4 linked regions of the Neurospora crassa OR74A genome follow. The protein of the gene in region 1 purifies or fractionates together with the protein of each later gene. This does not show direct contact. Links are inferred from orthologs where the notes say so. Each region holds a gene or a part of one and is shown in the gene's direction. Other genes may lie near its edges. The genes, in order: cox-6, cyt-26, fes-1 and NCU16028.

The links.
Region 2: the proteins of cox-6 (region 1) and cyt-26 purify together in Saccharomyces cerevisiae (affinity purification with mass spectrometry; 3 studies listed by BioGRID, with this or other methods). This does not show direct contact. The link is inferred for Neurospora crassa OR74A from reciprocal best matches to the Saccharomyces cerevisiae genes COX6 and CYT1.
Region 3: the proteins of cox-6 (region 1) and fes-1 purify together in Saccharomyces cerevisiae (affinity purification with mass spectrometry; 4 studies listed by BioGRID, with this or other methods). This does not show direct contact. The link is inferred for Neurospora crassa OR74A from reciprocal best matches to the Saccharomyces cerevisiae genes COX6 and RIP1.
Region 4: the proteins of cox-6 (region 1) and NCU16028 purify together in Saccharomyces cerevisiae (affinity purification with western blotting; 5 studies listed by BioGRID, with this or other methods). This does not show direct contact. The link is inferred for Neurospora crassa OR74A from reciprocal best matches to the Saccharomyces cerevisiae genes COX6 and COX2.

Annotation. Positions count from the first base shown.
Region 1 is NC_026505.1:4,304,149-4,307,889, forward strand, and holds cox-6 (cytochrome c oxidase polypeptide VI, variant), read left to right. Parts: upstream 1-1,404; 5' UTR 1,405-1,541; exon of another isoform or gene 1,542-1,655; 5' UTR 1,656-1,680; coding exon 1,681-1,841; intron 1,842-2,057; coding exon 2,058-2,103; intron 2,104-2,265; coding exon 2,266-2,383; intron 2,384-2,563; coding exon 2,564-2,685; 3' UTR 2,686-3,129; downstream 3,130-3,741. Other genes in the region: NCU06696 (hypothetical protein), read right to left, coding at 3,690-3,741. UniProt on the Saccharomyces cerevisiae protein: Component of the cytochrome c oxidase, the last enzyme in the mitochondrial electron transport chain which drives oxidative phosphorylation.
Region 2 is NC_026501.1:4,144,678-4,148,912, reverse strand, and holds cyt-26 (cytochrome-26), read left to right. Parts: upstream 1-1,350; 5' UTR 1,351-1,584; coding exon 1,585-1,659; intron 1,660-1,902; coding exon 1,903-2,057; intron 2,058-2,205; coding exon 2,206-2,268; intron 2,269-2,360; coding exon 2,361-3,033; 3' UTR 3,034-3,645; downstream 3,646-4,235. Other genes in the region: aro-7 (DAHP synthase), read left to right, coding at 1-290, 375-535; mbp3 (methylated-DNA-binding protein3), read left to right, coding at 3,801-4,235. UniProt on the Saccharomyces cerevisiae protein: Component of the ubiquinol-cytochrome c oxidoreductase, a multisubunit transmembrane complex that is part of the mitochondrial electron transport chain which drives oxidative phosphorylation.
Region 3 is NC_026504.1:1,784,990-1,789,308, forward strand, and holds fes-1 (ubiquinol-cytochrome c reductase iron-sulfur subunit), read left to right. Parts: upstream 1-1,416; 5' UTR 1,417-1,623; coding exon 1,624-1,897; intron 1,898-2,222; coding exon 2,223-2,311; intron 2,312-2,433; coding exon 2,434-2,584; intron 2,585-2,705; coding exon 2,706-2,887; 3' UTR 2,888-3,615; downstream 3,616-4,319. Other genes in the region: dim-8 (DNA damage-binding protein 1), read left to right, coding at 1-556, 625-936. UniProt on the Saccharomyces cerevisiae protein: Component of the ubiquinol-cytochrome c oxidoreductase, a multisubunit transmembrane complex that is part of the mitochondrial electron transport chain which drives oxidative phosphorylation.
Region 4 is NC_026614.1:58,211-60,983, forward strand, and holds NCU16028 (cytochrome c oxidase subunit 2), read left to right. Parts: upstream 1-1,318; coding exon 1,319-2,071; downstream 2,072-2,773. Other genes in the region: NCU16027 (ATPase subunit 9), read left to right, coding at 398-622. UniProt on the Saccharomyces cerevisiae protein: Component of the cytochrome c oxidase, the last enzyme in the mitochondrial electron transport chain which drives oxidative phosphorylation.

The DNA of each region.
Region 1 (3,741 bases):
CTAGGCCGTTCAAGGTCCACCAAATAGCTACAACCCCCTACATCGGATACCTCGTTCATCATGCAGAGCGTCAACTGTCGGGCCGCAACGGGCTAACTCTTGATCAAACGAGTAGTGTAGAGTCCATGCCGAGGTTTGGGGAAGTAGCTAGTGCAGGACGTTCACAACTTGGTTATCAGGAAGAGATATCGTGGAAATTGATACGAGGACGTTCAAACACCCAGGCGAGCCCGAACCAACGGTGCGTATAAGAGAAGGTGAATGGCTTGCCCTCCAGCGATTGAGCTCACAACCTGGGGTGGCCCAGTGCTACGGTAAGACATTGACCAGCGGGTATACAAATTCGGTTTGTTCAATGATTCAATCGAGTCCATTTTTTTGAGGTTTCGCGGCTCTCGCCTGTTCAACAACCCCAACCCACCAATACTACAAGACGCGTTTTCTACTCTCTCCGAACTACATACTGGCTTTCGATCAGCCCATCATTCATCCACCCACAAATACACGAGTGTACAAGCCGTGAATCCTGAGATGACGAGACCATGTGCCGGTCAAAACATTCGGTTGGCAGTCAATTTCTTCCGATGATAAATAGGTTGATCCGTAAATCTCCAGCGCTTGCCGGTTCAAATGTTCCCAATCCTGGGAATTGTCTAAGAAAAAAAGTGAGGGATATCAAGGTCAACACGATGATGAGTTGAAGTGAATGTCCGCAACAACAGACACCACTTCATTGTGTGAAAGACCGACATGAGCAACACGCACTGGTTGCATCATCGCTGCAGGACGGATCGGATAAATCGACTGTGTTGGATGGATAAATCGACTGTATAGCAATTCGCGGGCTACCCCCAAGGTTAGTGTTAGGGTTAGTGGTTAGGGTTAGGTGTTAGGGTTAGTTCCGGGGGTGCAGGGGGCCGGTGAGAGGCCCCCGCATATAAATGAGAGTTCAACGCTTTAGAAAAAGTCGTTTTGAGCTTTCGTTGTCGTTGTCGAGACAATGATATTTTGGTGATGACTTGCGATCGCGAAAGTTTGGCGCGAGAGATGCCAAGCTTTGGGTCTTGGCTGTCAGTTTGTATGGGCTCCACACAGCGGATTCATCTGAGCACACAGTCGATTTATCCGGCTCGCTGCAGGAAGGCGTTATAGGTACCCCACGTTCTGTTGCTTCGACATCAGCCTCATTATGAAGTTAAAGAAATGTTTCAGCCACTTCAGCCACTACTGGTGCGGAAAAGTGGGCTGTTGTCTGTTCAATTGCATACCAAGCTCATGTACGAATTGGAAAGGTGAGCTTAGGGAGCTTGTGCACTGACCACCGAGTGGCTTGTCCAGAAGTACCTCGAGGGCGGAAAAAACACAGCTAGTCAGCTAACCGGAAAAGACATAGCCGAAGTATTCGAATGGTCCGATGCAGTGCAATACCGGAGACTTCCACTTGGGTTGAACAAGCATTTACGTCGCACACCATCGAACCTCAACCTCGTTAGCATTAATTGAGACCATCATCTCAGCTACCGTACCTCCCTCTACGTAACGTGCGTGCTTCTCCGTCTCCGCCGCCAATTACCGCCTTGCCTTTTCTTCCCCCCCGGTCTTCTCGCTTCGCAGTTCCAGCTTCTTACCGTGTGCTCTCAATTCTCATCTTCTAGTAGCCCCCTCCGTCCTTCCGTCACAATGGCCTCCTTCTTCCGCACTGCCGTCCGCGGTCCCTCCGCCGGCCTCTTCCGCGCCGTTGCCCGCCCCCAGCCCATCGCCGCCCGCGTCAGCCTTTTCAGCACCTCCAGCCGCTTCCGCTCCGAGCACCACGAGGAGACCTTCGAGGAGTTCACTGCCCGGTGAGTTTTGCCCCGGCAGCCCGGCCGGGAAGCTGCTACCTCTCCGAGCCCCGGAGGTCCCAGGCCCGAGCTAGCTACCTGCCTATCCTAGCTCGGCTTCACTATGACGTGATGCCTCCGACTCTCCTCCCCTCAGCCTCAGCCAGGGCCACCCCATCAACACCTCCATGCGCCCTCGAGAACTCCCCAATTCCTAACTTGCGCCTTTTCCAACAGCTACGAGAAGGAGTTTGATGCCGTTCAGGATGTTTTCGAGCTTCAGGTATGCACCACCTTCCATGCTCCCGTCCCACTTCGACTCTCACGGCCTACTCGACGACGCACCTTTTGCATTATCGATCAAGGGACAACAATGATTCAACTTGTTGGGTAGGGGCAAGGGAAGGAAGAGACTGTGAGACTGACGCTGGCATACCGAAATTAGCGCAACCTGAACAACGCTTTCGCTTACGATCTCGTCCCTTCCCCCTCCGTTCTCGCCGCCGCTCTCAAGGCTGCCCGCCGCGTCAACGACTTCCCCACCGCTGTCCGCGTCTTCGAGGGTAAGAGCCCCCGTCCTAACATCCATCACTGCCGCCACCGAAACCCGCACACATCGTAGCCATCGACGACCAGCCTATGCGTCAATACCAAGGTGTCCGATAAGCTCGGGTGGATAGGGAACAGCAAAACGGTCTTTTAGGAACCAGAACCATGCTGACAACGGGCTTCCGTCATAACAGGCATCAAGGCCAAGGTTGAGAACAAGGGCCAGTACGAGCAGTACCTCGCTGAGCTCAAGCCTCTTCGTGAGGAGCTCGGCATCACCCTCAAGGAGGACCTCTACCCCGAGGAGGCCAACTAAATTTAGGACCAACGTAACTTAGAAGATGCCATGAGAATCACCATTCCAACGACCCATCAATTATTCTCCCAGAATCTTTGGAAGTTTGAAAAGAGGGGATATGAGAGTATTGTGGCGAGAGGAGGGGGAGTTTGTGGAAGGGGAAAGCGTAGCGTGTGTGCTTGGAACCTATGAATAGGAGAGCGCACTCAACGCTAATTCCCTGGTACCATACATGTTTCTTTGCCTAGAGAACTCCTATTGCAGGAAGTAAGGGCGTAGTATATCCAAGAGGGCCTTAGAGAGAGGAATCGAACGAGTTCAACCTGTTTGTCGAGTTGGATACGATAACAGTTGGTTGTGTCACGGATTGTGTTTGGACGATGAATATCCCATGCCATGATCGTAGAGAGCAGCAAAATAGATGTATTCGAAAGGCAGTAATGAGTTTACCATAGATTTTACAAAAGCTGGATGCTGGTTACCATTCGTCATAAGAGATTGACCAGATTCACGATTGTCATGCCTGGTTCTACCTGGATTCTATTGCCTTTATCCATAGCAGGTAGAGTAAGTATCTAGAAAAAGGTAACCCCAATGCGCCGAGTGCCTCAACCTCTTTCATGTGCATCCCTCGATCCTCAAATGCAACCTGAGTACCTTGAACCATACAAAAGAAAATGAAAACAATCGATCTAATGAACCGTAAGATGTAAGATAGGGAGATGGGTATTGTGAAAAGATATTCCTACCGGCTGGAGAGAAAGAAGAAGAAGAAAAAGACCAATAGGTAACAAGCAATAAGCAAACAATCGTTTCACCAACCATTCCACCGTTGACAGGGACATAAGGAAAGCTGACCTGAAGCCATCTTAATCGTTGTCTTTGTCTCGGTCCTTGGTCACGAACCAGGAAAACAGCTGCAGTCATCGACCGACAGCCGAGCCATTCTTTCCTTCTCTCAAGCACCCAACGATCTCGCTCTCCGACCCCCAGGTTCGGTTCTAACTCCTATTCGTCTTGCCCTAATCACGGAGGTGCCCCCACCGGGGGTTAAAGTTTATGCCCCCATTTCCT
Region 2 (4,235 bases), on another chromosome or scaffold:
CACCAAGCCCGGTGTCGTTGCCATCGTCGGAACTGTTGGCAACGAGGACTGCTTCGTCATCCTCCGTGGCGGTACCAAGGGCACCAACTACGATGCGAAGAGCATCGCTGAGGCCAAGGCTGCGCTGGAGAAGAGCGGCTTGCGCCAGCGCCTGATGATTGACTGCAGCCACGGCAACTCGAATAAGAACCACAAGAACCAGCCCAAGGTCGCTGCCGAAATTGCGCAACAACTTGAGAACGGCGAAACTGGTATCATGGGCGTCATGATTGAGAGCAACATCAACGAGGGCAAGTCTTTTTATTTTGTTTATTTTTTTTATTGGGGGCATATGACCGTCTAAATTTGAAGCTGTTCGCTAACACAACGTACAGGTAACCAGAAGGTGCCCGAGGAAGGCAAGTGCGGCCTCAAGTACGGTGTCAGTATCACTGATGCTTGTATTGGCTGGGAGGACACTGTCGCCACTCTCGACACGCTTGCGCAGGCCGTCAAAAAGAGGAGAGAAGTCCTGAGCAAGAACGCCGCTGCCTAAGTCATGCCAATTCCTGGTCTTGTTTGCTTTATGGTTTATGGGTCATTTGATAGGGGTTCACGAACCCTAAGTGAGGGATGCCGAATATATGCTGGCGCGGGGATGGGAACACAAAAGCTGACATTTCTGCATGTGGTGTGTTTTGATAAAGAGCGTGTATTAATGCATCTTGGGAAATGGCCGTCGAGACAATAGAAGATGGTAAAAGATGGAGCGGGTCTGGATCTCAAAACGAAACAATTACCTTGGATTTCTTTCGATGATAATCTCTAGGATCGTCCATGTTCGACTACAGTTTTGCGTTGCCTTTTTTTTTGGGGATGCAATTGTGGTGATGTGTTGGTGTGAAGCGTGATAGCCGTGGTGACCAAATCTGAGCTTCACCTGCGATTACGGGGCCACGGCATAGGTATGTATGTGTGGTGTATAGCTTCAAACCTGGCTTTCCTTGGCAGCTTTTCCTCGGCTAGGTCCGGTCACGCTGGGTCGCCGTGTGAGCTGAAAAGACAGAAGGGGCGGACCGCGGGCAGCGAGAGCTTGGACATTTATGATTTCCATGGGGCGATGCTGGCTGATGCTGATGCTGATACTGATGCTGATCCTGATCCTGATGCCCAGCTCCCAGCTGTGCCCAGTTGGATTAGTCGCTTGTGAAACTTCCACTTGCAGGTCGGGATTGGGCTCGCTGAGGTGTCTACCTTACTGAGCAAGGTAGTCTCAAAAAGCGCTGAGGCCCGCGGGCAGAATGAGGTAAATTAGTGCGGAAAATCCATCGGCCGGGGCCGAGGGGAAGTGTAAAAGCTCGAAAGGCTGCACGGTGATTGGCCCAGCCAATCAGATGGCGAGTGTTCCTAAGATTCCCGAAATTCAAGAAACCTACGGTCCTACCTACGACGCTACGTGAAGGGAATCGACCGACCTTGCACCTGGACGGACCTGCTCGACCTCCCGCCCGCCAGACCTGATACTGTCACCGACATTGCCAACCCAATTGGCCTTGTCCCCCGAACCCGCGATACTTTCCTAAAGCTTCGCTCAGCTTGCCCACCATGCTGGCGAGGACCTGCCTGCGCTCGACGCGCACCTTTGCCAGCGCGAAAAATGGCGCCTTCAAATTTGCCAAGGTTCGTCTCGATTGCTTCGACAACTCTTTCGTCCTCGTCTCTCTGCCCCTCCAAACAACAGATCTCGGCCGCATCGCCACTCGAATGGCTGGGTCTGGGCCGGCTTGAGCTACCGTCAACCTACTGCGAGCTCCCGGTCCGGGGCCCAGTTGCCCGACCATCCCCGCCCCGGCCGAGCCATCCTGTCTTGTCTCCTTCACACTCTCGCGCTCCTCGAGGAAAGCTAACGGACGTGCCCGGCAGCGTTCGGCTTCCACCCAGAGCTCCGGCGCCGCTGCCGAGTCTCCCCTCCGCCTGAACATTGCTGCCGCCGCTGCCACCGCCGTCGCCGCCGGCTCGATCGCCTGGTACTACCATCTCTATGGATTCGCTTCCGCCATGACTCCGGCTGAGGAAGGGTGAGTCCCCTACGATCGATCCGACCATCCGCCCCGCTCTAGCCGCTGGACCGAGGTCTGCCTCATGGGTTCTGAGGCATATACGACCGAGCTCGACTATAGGCATGAATCTGGGCATGGAGTGACTCGAAGCTTACCGTTGACGCAGTCTCCATGCTACCAAGTACCCCTGGGTCCACGAACAGTGGCTCAAGACCTTTGATCACCAAGCGTAAGCAACCACTCCTATCCAGCCCATTCGAGGCCGCGCCTCCAATCCAAAATGACTATCTGGCTCACGACTTTGTTTTTGCCCGACTGCAGTCTTCGCAGAGGTTTCCAGGTGTACCGTGAGGTCTGCGCCTCGTGCCACTCTCTCAGCAGAGTCCCCTACCGCGCTCTTGTCGGCACCATCTTGACCGTCGATGAGGCCAAGGCTCTTGCCGAAGAGAACGAGTACGACACCGAGCCCAACGACCAGGGCGAGATCGAGAAGCGCCCCGGCAAGCTTTCCGACTACCTCCCCGATCCCTACAAGAACGATGAGGCCGCCCGTTTCGCCAACAACGGTGCCCTTCCTCCCGATCTCAGCTTGATCGTCAAGGCCCGCCACGGTGGCTGCGACTACATCTTCTCCCTCCTTACCGGCTATCCCGATGAGCCTCCCGCTGGCGCTTCCGTTGGCGCCGGCCTTAACTTCAACCCCTACTTCCCCGGTACCGGTATCGCCATGGCCCGTGTCCTCTACGACGGCCTCGTCGACTACGAGGATGGCACCCCCGCCTCCACCTCCCAGATGGCCAAGGATGTTGTTGAGTTCCTCAACTGGGCTGCTGAGCCCGAGATGGACGACCGCAAGCGCATGGGTATGAAGGTTCTGGTTGTCACCTCTGTGCTCTTCGCCTTGAGCGTCTATGTTAAGCGTTACAAGTGGGCTTGGCTCAAGTCGAGGAAGATCGTCTACGATCCCCCCAAGGAGTCCACCACCCGCCACTAATTTAGCATTGCCACAACAAAGGGCAAAGTCATGACATTCACACAATAACCGTTGTGAGACGTGCGTGATTTTCCTTGTCTTTTTCTGTGTATGTATCATATACTATTGCTGCCCAAATTTTGCTCCCCCATGTTCCTCTTGCGCATCGGTCAGAAAGAGCAAAACGAAAAGGAATGGGCAGGGGCGGGATCGGTAACTCTGGGCAATGCGGAGATGTGCGGGCGTGTGGGTTGAACATGAAGATGGTCGTAGAGTGTATAAATCAAATTTTCTGGTCTCAAATACAACATAGACGTTATTGCCTGTGTCTGACAGGGTATGATGGTATGGGTATGACGGTCAAGCTGAACTTGCATGTGAGTGGATCAGGATACGGATATTACGACATGGGCATTTGAACGGATGCCAAAGAGTAAAGGCCATTTCCCTGTCAGCTACATCATCATGTACGCCTTTAACTTCGAGAGTAGTTGAGATATAGTATGAGCTTCGAAAGCCTTGACATTTCTCGATTGGCAATCTCTCTTTCACCGAATCACGGTAAATGTCAGCACGAAGTGCCACAGAGGATGCCCCTGGCTTGGCATTTGATTTGCCTTCCAAACAAAGTCTTGGCCCCCTCCCCTCCCTTTTCGATTCACTCACTGACAAGCAACAACATCTTGACCCCAAACTCATCGTGAAGTTTTCAATCACATTTTGATTCTACGATTGCTGGACACCACATATGTAAATCCAAAACTCTCCATCCACTGACAACCAGCAAAATGTCATCATCAAAACTATCACCACCCCAATCACAGGCCTCTCGCCTCCCATATAACGATGTCATGTCACCAGACCTCGCCAATGACATCCTCAATGACTTCAACGTCGACTTCTCCTCTTCCTCTCAAGACCGAGACTACCTCGCCTCGCTGCTTACCTCGGGTTTCGCCCCACCAGTTGAAGTCCGCAAACTTTGGGAACCGAGTCTCATGCGTGGAATGGAAGAATGGGAAATGATGATGGATTGTGCCCATTCCTTGAGGGATCAAGCTTATCGGGTTCTGCGGCTGGAGCGAGAACAAGATCATGGTCAAAATCGCGTGATGGGTGATCCTGAGCTGTGTTTGTTGCCGTTTCTGGGGATGATCATGGCGGGGAGGAAGGAAGGGTGTTTGTTTGACGGGGATACTTGTGCTGGGAGTCTCTTGGGGAAG
Region 3 (4,319 bases), on another chromosome or scaffold:
CCGGGATCCGTACTTGGTCCTCAAGCACGAGCTGAAAGGCGGCTGTCGCGCTCTGGCGGTCATGGGCAGCAAAATCGTGGCTGCACTCCACAAGACAGTGGTTATCAGCCAGTACGAGGAAACGTCAAGCACTGAGGCCCATCTCGTCAAGCTCGCGTCTTATCGGTGCACAACTTATCCGGTCGACATCGCGGTGCATGGCAACATGATTGCTGTTGCTGATATGATGAAGTCGGCTACACTGGTCGAGTACGTCCCGGCCAAAACCGGAGGGGAGAAGTCCGAAGCCCCCAAGTTGGTAGAGTGCGCGAGACACAGGCATTCTGCGTGGGCAACGGCCGTGGCTCACGTTGAGGGCGAGTCTTGGCTTGAAGCTGATGCCAATGGCAATCTGATCGTGCTTCAACGCAATGCTGAGGGCGTGACAGTGGAGGACCAGCGGCAACTGAGGATAACAAGCGAGCTCAACCTGGGAGAACAGGTGAACAAAATACGCCCGATCAAGGTCGAGACTAGCCCGAACGCCATCATCATTCCTCGAGCGTTCTTGGCCACGGTAAGTTGCCTGTTTCTCAGATTGATCATGTCACAAGGTCAAGGCTAACAATTGACTTGATAAAACAGGCGGAAGGCGGTATTTACATGTTTGGTACGATTGCGCGCGAACAAGACCTCTTACTTCGGTTCCAGGATAAACTGGCGGCGGTGATCAAGACAGTTGGCGAACTCGATTTCAACTCCTACAGGGCATTCCGCAATGCGGAAAGGGGGCCCGAGGCAGATGGAACGACTGGGCCGGTCAGGTTCCTGGATGGGGAGTTGCTGGAGAGGTTTTTGGATGTGGATGAGAAGACGCAGAAGGAGATCTGCGAAGGTCTTGGGCCGAGCGTTGAGCAGATGCGCAATATGGTAGAGGAGCTACGGAGGATGCACTGAGCCAACGGTTAGACACTTAACGTGCATGATTGGATGTCTACAAGTCATCGCTTTGGCTGCTGAAGATTTTGGCAGTTGCAAGTGTTGTCAATAAGTGCTGTGCTCAAAACATGGCTGCATAGGGTGAGAGAAGATGAGTCTGTGAATAGCCTCAGATGAACGAATGAATTATGTATGATCAATAGATCAATTGACATCACTGTCTTGGCACCCTTGGCTCGCCGAGTCGCTGACAGTTCAAGTTGTCCGGGCGCTGCGGTGACGCGCTGAGGTGAGCCCCACCACCACCATCACCACCACCAACAGGACGAACCAGGCGACGGAAGAAACCGGAGAGTGGACGAACAGGCAGTCACAGCCAATCAGGGCCGGCGCATTAAGTAGCTCTCTAGCTGCTGGGCGGACGCTGTGGTTGGTTAGTGCCTCAGGCCACAAGCCAGTAGCTATGGCGGTTTCCCATGCCGGGAAAGGTGGGAACCAAGCTCGGCCCAGAAAAACCTCAGTCCGTGATTTTGGCCTCGTCGTCTCGACCGCATTACGCAGCCGTCAATTCCGTCTCCGGAACACCGCCCACGTCCACCGTCCTCCCGCGACTCCGAAAGAGCAGAACCTCGCTCGATCTCCCCGCTCTCGCAACCCCCTCTCTCCGCTCCGACCTCTGTCCACGCGAGTAATTCTACCGACACAATGGCGCCCGTCTCGATCGTTTCCCGCGCCGCCATGCGCGCCGCTGCCGCCCCCGCCCGGGCCGTTCGCGCTCTCACCACCTCGACTGCCCTCCAGGGTTCCTCGTCCTCCACCTTCGAGAGCCCCTTCAAGGGCGAGAGCAAGGCCGCCAAGGTCCCCGACTTCGGCAAATACATGAGCAAGGCGCCCCCCAGCACCAACATGCTCTTCTCCTACTTCATGGTCGGCACCATGGGCGCCATCACCGCCGCCGGCGCCAAGTCCACCATCCAGGGTGAGTCTTGACTTGATGGGATTTGAGGAGGAAGCTTCACACATTCCTCGAGGTTGGGGAAAACAAAGAGGTGGCATAGGACAGATGGGTTCGGGTCAATGGGATTCGACAAGGGGGTTCTGTTATGGTGGGGCGAGCTATCTACGGTTCCGTCTCATCGATCACCAATTTGCGACCACTATGACAACTTTCGATATCGGGGCGGATATGGTTGGACCTTGGGGCGATGTTGAAGCATGGATACATGGGGAAAATGCCATCTTGCACATGCACCCACGAACACCCAAGAACTAAAGACAGCTGACGAGGCGACCGTGTTATACAGAGTTCCTCAAGAACATGTCGGCTTCCGCTGATGTCTTGGCCATGGCCAAGGTTGAGGTTGACCTCAACGCCATCCCCGAGGGCAAGAACGTAAGGATCCCTACGAAACCGGATTAGCAAAGGCTTGGGCTGAGCTGAGCTGGGCACATCGATTCCCGACGACGATCAAACCATGATGGAATGCTGACCCCGGTCTTTTCCTACTTTTACAGGTCATCATCAAGTGGCGTGGCAAGCCCGTCTTCATCCGTCACCGTACCCCTGCGGAGATCGAAGAGGCCAACAAGGTCAACGTTGCCACCCTCCGTGACCCCGAGACCGACGCCGACCGTGTCAAGAAGCCCGAGTGGCTCGTCATGCTTGGTACGCCCCTCCATGTCCCTCTTTGCGATCCGAACAAGACGAAGGATAGCATTTTTGGATGCTCAGATCCTGGATACACGACGATGTGGGGAGACTGACATTTGGTGTGTGAACAAAACAGGCGTCTGCACCCACTTGGGTTGCGTTCCCATCGGCGAGGCCGGTGACTACGGTGGCTGGTTCTGCCCTTGCCACGGTTCTCACTACGATATCTCTGGCCGTATCAGGAAAGGACCTGCCCCTCTGAACCTCGAGATCCCTCTCTACGAGTTCCCTGAGGAGGGCAAGCTTGTCATTGGTTAAGCGAGCAAAAAGACAAAACTTTCCGATTGAACAAACAAGACACAATTTTTAACCAAACCTACTAGGGAATCCTCTCGATATTCCCTTGTCCACTTTTTTTTTCCCTTGCTGCCCGAGAGACGATGACAGGGAGAATTGTATTAGTACGGGGGTATTGCGACAAAGGGCTTGAGTGGAAGCATGTCATAGACCATAAAACGGGATTTTTGTTTTCCGTGGTTCTTGACGCGGTTTCGTACGACTATCCTATAGACAGAAGACACACATACGCATACACAACAGCAAATCAGGTGTCACGGTCGATCATATGCGCTCGAGAGTCGGAAACTTCTATATACTCAGAACTGCGTTCTTCACCTACGCAACCCTACATACCTATTATTGGTGCTGAGCTTGGCGCTAGGTTGCTGCTGAGTGTTGTACCCTTGCGTTTTCCTATAGACTGGCTTTGTAGAAAATCCTATTGTATGAGAGGCTCACTGGAGCATGGTACCGTGAGAAGGTCTTCCTCGACCCATGGCAGTCGGCTGTGGCTAAGAGCTTTGTGAGGAAACCATAGGTCAGCTGATGAACCTCCCAATGCTAACGCATCTGATCATCCAACACGGCATTGGTAAATACAAATGGCCTTTTATGCGGGTGTGGGACAGACAGGCTACATGTCGAATTGCTGGAGAGCAGCTCGACCAGAATTACAGATGTTGACAACTTAATCTTAGCTTGGCCAACCTTGCGAATCAAGCCCAGTCGGTATACCCGCCCGTGCTACTCTGGTAGCTGAGTTAAGGAAACGCCCGCGAACCGGTAGCTTACCCTGGTTGTTTCATTGACGTCTGAGGAATTCTCCGAACGTAATTATATCTGAAGCCCGCCTTAACATCTTGTGCGCTACTCAAGCCGACACATAGTTAGTGCACTACCTCCAACCATAGCCCCTTGCCAATGCTGGCCGGGTGGGTTGCAGTCTCATTGCAGGGGCTAGGTTGTACCCCCATGCGCTCCCCCTTGCTCTGAGTCTTTTTCCCCCACAAACAAAACAACCTCATCTTTTGAACTTCGCCTTCCCGGGCGCGTCTTGACACAGCTTTCTCACTTCTTCACCAAATTCTCGAAACCCCTCACCCTTGCGGCTCAAAGGGGCTGCTCCTAGGGTCATGTAACAAGCGAAGTTCCATCGTTCGTCTGATCTGACTTGCCGACTACCCGAGGCACCATGGCGGCCACGATTCACCCACCACGACTGGACAAAGTTGTTCTCGAACATAAATTATGGCAGGCGCCACGGTCATTGACGGCGACCGAGATCGAGGCATGCCGATGCCACCGAAAGCGAGAAGTGAGGGGTGGGTGAACGTCGCAGTCAATCAAGCGCTTATGGAGTCTCATCTTATATGAACGGATCACCAAGTCGAATGTTTACTTTACCACTTGG
Region 4 (2,773 bases), on another chromosome or scaffold:
ATGTAACTTAATGTTATGTAACTGTAATGTAATATTTTGTAATGTAACTGTAATGTAACTTAATATAATGTAACTGTAATGTAATATAATGTACAGTAATGTAACTGTAATGTAATGTTACATTACATGTAATGTAATGTAATGTATTGTAATGTAATCTTTATATGTAATGTACTAAAGATTACGATAGCTAGCCAGTTATATACTGGCTAGCTATCGTATGATTATTGTAGCCATTAGGGATAGCCTAATGGCTACTTGATTATCATTAGATATACTGCAACAGCAGTAAATACACTGTTGTCGGGAGCCTCAGTGGTATTTGCTGCTTTGCGGTGGTGGAATTGAAGAGGTTACTAGATTCTAGTTAATTTTTGATTCCACCATTGTATATATAATGATACAAGTAGCTAAAATAATAGGAACAGGGCTAGCTACCACAGGTTTAATCGGAGCTGGTATAGGTATTGGAGTTGTATTTGGCTCATTAATAATAGGGGTTTCAAGAAACCCTTCGTTAAAAAGTCAATTATTTGCATATGCAATTTTAGGTTTTGCTTTCTCGGAAGCGACAGGATTATTTGCTTTGATGATGGCTTTTTTACTTCTTTATGTTGCATAGTAATGATAGAGATTAGGAATAAAATGATGTATGGCTGCTTAAATAAAAAATATGGCTGCTCTTCCTGCTTAGCTAGCTAGCTAGCTTCGAGGGACCCCACGAATACGGCCCACACACGAAGGTGTGTGGGGTATTCGTGGGGGGCCCCCTCCTACTTCCTGCCTACGAAGTCTAGGCAGGCAGGAAGCAGCCTTAATAATTTAGCTAGCCATAATATCGCGACCACCCTCCTCCACTCAACCCCCCCCTTGGCGGCCCCCATCTTTCCCCCGCCCTGCAATACTGCAGGGGGGCATAATTAAATGTGATGGGGACCTTGAGCAAAGGAGGGGGTACGCGAGTGGAGGAGGGTGGTACTTTTTTGGGAGGGAAGCTGAGCGAAGCTGAGCGAAGCTGAGCGAAGTGAGCGAAGTGTGCGAAGCTGAGCGAAGGTAATTCATTTTTTTGGGCCCCCGCCCCGAAGGGGGCGGGGTCCCCCGAAAAAACAAAGGACGCTAGCGTAGCCTAACCTTATGAGCAGCAGGCTATAAAAACCCATTAGGCACAGGGTATACTTCGTTAGTGGATAAGAATTAGCCTAGCCTTAATATACAATACAGTTTAATGTTATATTTAAATTCTATATTTTATGAAAAGATATAATATATTTATTATTATGGTTTAATATTCAATATAGAATATTCTATTTCTTTTTTTATGGGATTATTATTTAATAATTTAATTATGAATTTTGATGCTCCAAGCCCATGAGGTATCTATTTTCAAGATAGTGCTACTCCTCAGATGGAAGGTTTAGTTGAATTACATGACAATATTATGTACTATCTGGTGGTAATACTATTTGGTGTAGGATGAATCTTATTATCTATAATAAGAAATTATATCAGTACAAAATCACCAATTTCACATAAATATTTAAATCACGGTACATTAATCGAATTAATATGAACTATTACTCCAGCAGTAATATTAATATTAATTGCTTTCCCTTCATTTAAGTTGCTATATTTAATGGATGAAGTTAGTGATCCTTCAATGTCAGTTTTAGCAGAGGGGCACCAATGATATTGAAGTTACCAATATCCTGATTTCTTAGATTCAAATGATGAATTTATAGAATTTGATTCATATATAGTACCGGAATCCGATTTGGAAGAAGGAGCACTAAGAATGTTAGAGGTGGATAATAGAGTTATCCTTCCTGAACTAACACACGTTAGATTTATCATCACTGCAGGTGATGTGATACATAGCTTCGCTGTTCCATCTTTAGGTGTTAAATGTGATGCTTATCCTGGGAGATTAAATCAAGTATCTGTTTTTATTAACAGAGAAGGAGTATTCTATGGTCAATGCTCTGAAATCTGTGGTATATTACACAGTTCTATGCCTATAGTTATAGAGTCAGTATCTCTAGAAAAATTCCTTACTTGATTAGAAGAACAGTAAGACGATAAAATAGTTTTTGGCTAAATAAAGGAACTCGGGGGACCCCACGAATACGGCCCACACACGAAGGTGTGTGGGGTATTCGTGGGGCCCTATGTATTTGAGTATGAAGCCATCTAGTGGTTATCTCTCCCCCCCTCCCCGCAGGTTTGCGGGGGGGGAGCGAGGGGGTAGCGATAAAAAGTTTCTAATATGAAGAGGATGACTTATGGAATTAACTCCACTCCCCCCCCCCTTAAGGGGGGGAGTGGAGTGGAACGGAATTAACTCCACTCGCTCCCCCCCCCGCAGGTTTGCGGGGGGGAGCGAGTGGAGTGGAACATCCGGGAGGTGGTGGGTTATATTATAAACAATATTCGGGGGACCCCGCCCCCTTCGGGGGCGGGGGGCCCATTAACTGGAAAGCACCCCCCCCTTAAGGGGGGTGCTTTTAATTATTATTATTTTTATAGGTTAATTAGGTTTAAAAGGCTACCCGCCCCCCCCCCTGCAGTACTGCAGGGCGGGGAAGGGTTAAAATAACAAGCAAGTTCCTGAAGTCTGGCGTAGCCTAGCGGAAGGAACCTTGCTTAAATCCAAAAACCTTTTAAAGAGTTACCAAGACTGAACCGGGGGCTAGCCCCCGATTAGGTAATTAATAAGTTTATGTATATCTAGTAAGGGTATAACTCTAATCCCCCTGCAGTACTGCAGGGTGGTGAA